Linked DNA regions of Sus scrofa. The protein of the gene in region 1 binds, or shares a complex with, the protein of each later gene. Links are inferred from orthologs where the notes say so. Each region holds a gene or a part of one and is shown in the gene's direction. Other genes may lie near its edges.

Region 1 (3,653 bases):
ATAGAGGATGCTCAAGTTGTCAGAGCAAAAAAATGTTCAAGTATCAGAATGCAATTGCCTTTAAAATTATGAAGAAAACTGTAGGTAAGTGGAGCAAAGTGTTTCCAGCACTGAATTCTGTACCCAGCCAAACTGGGCATTTACAAGGCAGGGAGCAAAGATGCTCAGATACCTGAAGACAGTGTGGTCCACTCAAAGGAAGGCATGAGCAGAGAAATTACCTGCGCCGTCCTGTGATTCTGGTCTTACCAAGGAGAAATGTGAGCATATGCTCATGTAGAAGCCTGTTGCACAGTTGCTTATGGCAGCTTTATTTATAGTCCCCCAAATCAGGAAAGTCGCCAAGTGTCCTTTGTCAGATGGATGGGTCCACTGCGATGCCTGTGGTCACACAATTTGAATCTCTCAAATGCATTATGCTGAGTTAGAGAAGCCAGACAGAAAGGCTGCTTACTCTAAGGGCTCCATTCATGTGACCTTCTGGAGAAGGCAGCACCGTAGGGACAGAGAACGGCAGTGGTTGTCTGGGACAGCGGTTAGCAGGAGGGGACTAGCTATAAAGGGGCACTTTTGGAGCAATGAGGCTGTTCCATGTCAATTATGGTGGCAGGTTATGGTGATAATTACATGACTGTATATATGCACTTTTTGACGTACATTTTTTATTACAAAGTATAATTGATTTTACAGTGTTGTGCCGACTTCTTCAGTGCAGCGAAGTGGCCCAGTCACACACGTACATACATTCCCCTTGTCATATCATCTTCCATCGTGGTCTGTCTCAGGAGCTTGGATGTCCTTCTCTGTGCTGTACAGTAGGACCTCATTGCTTATCCATTCTAAGTGTAACCGTATGCATTTCTTAAAACTCCTTATCCAAGAAGGATAAAATTTGTTCTAATTAACAGTGATGACTGCCACAGATGTCCCTCCAGCCATGAGGCCTTCCTTCCCTGGACACCTTCTTTCTTGGCAGGTCCTCCTTCTCCTGCACTGCTTGCTTACACAGCCCTCTGCAGGGACTGCTTTGCCATCTCCAGGGAGGTGCCCTTTCAGTTGGAAGAATTGGAATCATCTGACCTTTCCTCATCCCTCCCACTCCTCTTCCAAGGTGTCAGCCATTTCACCCTTCATCTGAATACATACGTTTTCAGTACATACGTTTTCAAGCGTCAGTAATTTGCATTCAGGACAAAAGGCAGCAATGAGGAGATCAAACTTGTGTTTACAGGCTTAATGCATGTTTTTCTTTGCAGACAGCAGCGAGTGCCTCGCAGACGACTGCAGCATCATTGCCGGAGGGACCCTCACCGGGTGGCACCCAGACTCGGCCGCTGTGCTCTGGCGGAGGGTCTTGGGAATCCTTGGAGATGTGAATAATATCCAGTCACCCAAGATCCACGCCAGGGTTTTTGGCTATCTCTATGAACTCTGGTACAAACTAGCAAAGGTACGTCCTGCTGTTTTTATTCGAATATGGGAAACTTGATTTATCACTTAGTATAAAAACTGTTGCATGTAACTTCTGAACATATGCTGGAACAAAAGTTGAAGTGTTTAGACACGGTACGTTTGCCTGTCAAAGAATAAATAATGATATGTATAGTTTGGTCATTTTATAAATGCCTCGGAGTTATTCCATTTAATGCGTTAAGTAGACTATTACTATAGGATATTAAAGAATGGGATATTATTCAGCAGTCTACTGTCTTTATAAAAGCGATGCTAGTTTTATTATACAAAATTTGAAGAATGTAGAAAAATGCTGAGAGGAAAATTGACCTCACTGTCCACAGAGAAAACCAGTAGTAAGATATAATCTTCGGAGTTCCCGTCGTGGCTCAGTGGTTAACGAATCCATTAACCACTAGGAACAATGAGGTTGCGGGTTTGATCCCCGGCCTTGCTCAGTGGGTTAAGTATTCGGCATTGCTGTGAGCTATGGGGTAGGTCGCAGATGCAGCTTGGATCCCGTGTTGCTGTGGCTGTGGTGTAGACCGGTGGCTACAGCTCTGATTGGACCCCTAGCCTGGGAACCTCCATATGCTGTGAGTGCAGCTTGTAGATAAACACATTTATACAAAAAGTAGAATCTTAGACTATATACAGTTTTCATTCTGGCTCTTGTTTACAACCTTCATTTTCCCTGTGTTATTACATTTTTTTTTCAAAAACATAATTCATGTTTATGCAGTTCAATTTGTGAAACCATCCTTATCCCTGGAGTTCAAGACTGCCTCTCCAGGCATTAAGATTCAAGGAAAAACGATGCCCTAGTTTTGTATTAAATCTAAAACCACCACATAATTCAAAAGGGTGATAGGTCTCCTGATAAAAGAAAAACTTGTGAATACTTTAGCTTTCCACTCAACTTGCAGAAGTTTAATTGGAAGCCGCGCTTTGACCACGGAGCATAGTATTAAAGTATCGTTGGGATAAACTAAGTGCGTCGCATCCCCTAAAATTCTCCTCTTTGTGTTTAGATACGGGATAACCTAGCAATAAGCCTGGATAACCAGTCCTCCCCATCTCCTCCTGCCTTGATCCCACCACTCAGAATGTTTGCATCATGGCTATTTAAGGCAAGTGAATGTGTGTTTATCTCTTTACTGTAATTTCCTCTTCCTTTCTGAAATTGAGTTTAAAAAATGTAATTGCCCCAGACTGCATGTTCTGAAGACAGGCTGGGTCTTGCTCAAGCCACTGCATCCCCTAAACCTCTCCATAAACAACTGATGGAAAACCGAGAAGTAAACGCATCTGCATCTGGAGTTGATTAAATCTCTAACCGTCTCCTTGGCAGGCGACGACGTTGCCAAACGAGTATAAGGAAGGCAAACTCCAAGCCTACAAGCTGATCTGTGCCATGATGACCAGACGCCAGGACGTCCTGCCCAACTCGGACTTCCTGGTGCATTTTTACCTTGTCATGCACCTGGGGCTGACCAGCGAGGACCAGGTACCTCCTTGCGCGTGGTGGCCTTGTCGTGCATGCCACTCTTGGCAGGTTAAGTTGGGGGTTGTGAGAGCACCTCCAAAATGTGGGCATTCTCAGTGGCTGCAGCTCTCCTACGCACAGCAGGGCCGTGGTCTTCCCGAAAGCTCTCCCCAGCTGCTTCTCCCTGCTGACTCTGCCTTTCACCAGCCAAATCTGTTTCCCGCCATAGCCTGTCCAGTTCTGCCTGTGGTCAACCTCAAAAATACTTAACCTCAACCTCTTTTTTGGGGGGAGAGTCTACATTAGCTATTATATGAAGAAAATGACTCATTCAAAAGCATTTGAAAACTGTTGTTTTTGGGGCTGGGATGTCTTTGTGAATAACCTCAGCCATCAGCTAGGGGTCCTGACATCTCTTTGTGTGGAGCTGATTTCTCTCAAAGGCATGTGATCGGTGGTTCATTTGAAACAGAAGGACCGTGGAGTTCCCCGGTGGCACAGTGGGTTAAGGATCTGGCGTTGTCCCTGCTGTGGCTTGGATCACTGCTGTGGTACCATTTTGGTCCTTGGCCTGGGAACTTCCATGTGCGAGGGGTGCAGGCCAAAAAAAAAAAAAAGAAAGAAAGAAAGAAAGAAACAGAAGGGCCAGAGGAGCCCCTAGCAGCCAGCCTGTGACCTTGGCCTTCCTCCCTGTGCAAGTTCTTGCAGTAGGCAG
Region 2 (3,245 bases), on another chromosome or scaffold:
CCTCTGGCACCCTATAATATGGAGATTGGTGTGTTTAACGTAGTCCCAGAGTTCTCTGAGACTCTATTCATTTATTTTCAGTCTTTTTTCTCTTTTCTGTTTGCATCTGTAATTTCAACTTATCTGTCCTCTACCTCGCTTATTCGTTCTTCTGCCTTCTGTATTCTGCTGTTGGCTGCTTCTAATAAATTTTTAATTTCAGTTATTGTCTTATATCTTGTATCTCTTTGCTCAGTGTTTCCTGTAAATTATTCATCTTTGCTCCAGTTTATTTCCAATGTCTTGTATCATCTTCAGCATCAATAGTCTAAAGTCTTTTTCCTGGAGGCTGAGAATCTTATGATCACTTAGCTGATTTTCTGGGGTTTTTCCTTTCCCCCTCATCTGAGTTATAGTTCCCTGTCTTTTCATTTTTATAGGTTTTGGTGTGGTGACCTTTTTACGGATACTAGAGTACTAGAGTCTCGTAGCCTCTCATACTTCTGGTGTCTGCTCCACTTGTGGCTGAAGTCAGTATGGGGGCTTGCTGTAGATTTCCTGATGGGAGGGGCTGGTGCCTGCCCACTGGTAGGTGGAGCTTGTCCCTGGTGGGTGGGGCTTTGTCTCTGGATGGGATTAGAGGCAGCTGTGTGCCTGGGGGTCTTTAGGCAGCCTGTTTACTGAGGGGCAGGGCTGTGATCCCACAGGATTGTTGTTTGCCCTGGGGCTTCTCAGCACAGACTGATGGTGGGGCCAGATTTTCCCAAAATGGCCACCTCCAGAGAAAGGCAGACTGCTGAATACTCCTGAGAGCTTTGCTTCCAGTGTCCTTCCCTCACAATAAGCCATATTCACCCGTTTTCCCAGGATGTCCTCCAAAAACTGCAGTCAGGTTTGACCCAGATTCCTATGGAGACTGCTTTACCCTGGGACCCAGTGCACGTGAGTCTGTATGTACCTTTTAAGAATGGGGTCTCTGTTTCCCCAGTCCTGTGGAGTTCCTGTGCACAAGCTCCACTGGCCTTCAATGCCAGATGCTCCAGGGGCTCTTTCTCCCAGTGCCAGATCCCCACATGTGAGAGTTTGATGTGGGGCTCAGAACTCTCACTCCTGTAGGCGAGTCTCTGTGAACGAGTTAGTTTCCACAGTCTGTGGGGCTTCCCACCTGGGAGGCTTGGGTTGCTTATATCACATAATCACCCCCCTACCTCTTGATGTGGCCTCCTCTTTGTCTTCTGGAGTAGGATATCTTTTTTAGGGTTTCCGGTCCGTTGGTTGGAGATTGTTCAGCCTTTAGTTGTGAATTTTGTTGATTTTAGGAGAGAAGTTAAGCTCCAGTTCTTCCGTTTGCCATCTTAATCCCATCCGGGTTATTCTTTTTCTTTAGGATTGTTTTGGCAATTTTGGGTCTTTTATGGTTCCATATAAATTTTAGGATTACTTGTTTTAGCTCTGTGAAAAATGTCACAGGTAATTTGATTGGGATCACATTCAATCTGTAAATTTAATCAGGTACTTGGCTATGATTAGGAGTCATGTGAACAGAAAGATTCCTGTGCTGGTGGAACTCGGGTCCCAGGAGTGCTGAACACTCACAGCTCTGGAAGTCCTGCTGTTGTATTTTCAAGTATGCATTGCAAATTTCCCAAATAGCAGGTGGAGCCACACTGAAATGCAGCCATTTCAACCAAATCATCTGTACCCTAGATAGTGATTCTTCAAGTCTCCCTGCGTGTGTACCTGAGTTGAGTGACCTCACTTGTGTTAACTTTTAAGTTTCACAGTAAGCACCCCATAGGGCATCTGTCTACTTTTATTTTTTGTTTTTGCTTTTTAGAGCTAGGCCTGCAACATATGGAAGTTCTCAGGCTAGGGGCTGCTTGGAGCAGCAGCTGCCAGCCTATGCCACAGCCACACCAGACCCTTAACCCACTGAGCAAGGCCAGGGATCAAACCTGCATCCTCACGGATAGTAGTCGGGTATGTAACTCACTGAACCACAATGGGAACTCCTGTCTGCAGTTTTAATAAACATGAATTGAGGAAGGAGTGAAGGTAATGTCATACTGTCTTACCATTCAGGTCACATCTGAGTATCAGTTTTGATGAAGCAGTTATTAAATGGCCAATTTTATTTCTTCATTTCACCTAGGAACTAATCTGGCAAAGTGTGATCTTTTTATCCACTTTCCTTTCAGGTGGCAATTGTTGTATTAGGAAACAAAATTGATCTTTCTGAGCAAAGACAGGTGGACGCAGAAGTGGCACAACAGTGGGCCAGGAGCGAGAAGGTGCGGCTGTGGGAGGTGACAGTCACGGACCGGAAAACTCTGATCGAGCCGTTCACTCTGTTAGCCAGCAAACTCTCCCAGCCCCAGAGCAAATCAAGCTTCCCTCTGCCTGGGAGGAAGAACAAAGGGAACTCCAGCTCTGAGAACTAAAAAGTGGAATGTCACAATCATTTGCTGAATAGTGACTGCCTTTAGGTATCTGTGAACAAACATATTTAAAACAGGACATGTCTACCTTTGGTCTTTAGAAAATCCCTAGGGAATTAATTTAATGCACTTTAGCTAATTAAGTTATTATTGCCTGATATGAAATACTATACTAGCATTCTCATTGTTTGAAACTTGTCCCTGAAACCAGCACCTTTGTTACATTTATGTTGAACTTGTCAAAAGAATAAAGTTTGAGTGGTATGCAAATATACTTGAGTAGCTCTCTTTAACCTGTTTCAGAAGCTGTCATTTTGTATAACTAACTGTGGAAACTTAGCTCCAATACAGCTTTGTTTTTTACAAGTTCACGAATTTTTTTTTTTTGGGGGGGGGGTCTTTTTGTCTTTTTAGGGCCACATCTGCAGCTTATGGAGGTTCCCAGGCTAGGGGGTCTAATTGGAGCTAAAGCTGCTGGCCTATGCCACAGCCACAGCAAAACGGGATCTGAGCCACATCTCTGACCTATACCACAGCTCATGTCAATGCCGGGTCTTAACCCACTGAGCAAGGCCAGGAATCGAACCCACATCCTCATGGATGCTAGCTGGGTTTGTTAACTGCTGAGCCACGACAGGAACGCCAAGTTCACTAATAATCTAACATGTAGGATTATATATTGACATAGATCATGAACAGTAAACAATGTGGACACTAAGTTAAGCTAAATTGTATCTGGTAGAGATCTTGATAAACAATTCAGCTTTGTTCAAATTACATGTAGCATGAATTGAGTAGTAGGTTTCTTTTAGGAACCCACTAAACACT

The links. Proteins that work in one complex are often made in the same cells at the same time.
Region 2: the proteins of RALGAPA2 (region 1) and NKIRAS1 are in contact, whole or in part, in a crystal structure (PDB 9QU1), measured with the Homo sapiens proteins. The link is inferred for Sus scrofa from reciprocal best matches to the Homo sapiens genes RALGAPA2 and NKIRAS1. Residues at the interface, in NP_065076.2 of Homo sapiens: Pro20, Lys21, Tyr51, Ser52, Gln53, Phe56, Tyr59, Glu60, Ile63, Arg99, Phe102, Arg103, Trp104, His105, Tyr106, Gln107, Ser108, Lys185, Ile186, Tyr187, Pro188, Glu189; in NP_001364280.1 of Homo sapiens: Lys6, Glu22, Leu24, Leu25, Tyr26, Glu34, Met39, Glu40, Asp41, Val42, Tyr43, Met44, Ala45, Ser46, Val47, Glu48, Lys54, Gln56, His58, Tyr60, His74, Tyr75, Ser77, Phe78, Lys108, Thr162.

Annotation. Positions count from the first base shown.
Region 1 is NC_010459.5:28,557,167-28,560,819, reverse strand, and holds part of RALGAPA2 (ral GTPase-activating protein subunit alpha-2), read left to right. Parts: intron 1-1,256; coding exon 1,257-1,450; intron 1,451-2,483; coding exon 2,484-2,582; intron 2,583-2,803; coding exon 2,804-2,959; intron 2,960-3,653.
Region 2 is NC_010455.5:10,685,926-10,689,170, reverse strand, and holds the end of NKIRAS1 (NF-kappa-B inhibitor-interacting Ras-like protein 1), read left to right. Parts: intron 1-2,177; coding exon 2,178-2,420; 3' UTR 2,421-2,691; downstream 2,692-3,245. UniProt on the Homo sapiens protein: Atypical Ras-like protein that acts as a potent regulator of NF-kappa-B activity by preventing the degradation of NF-kappa-B inhibitor beta (NFKBIB) by most signals, explaining why NFKBIB is more resistant to degradation.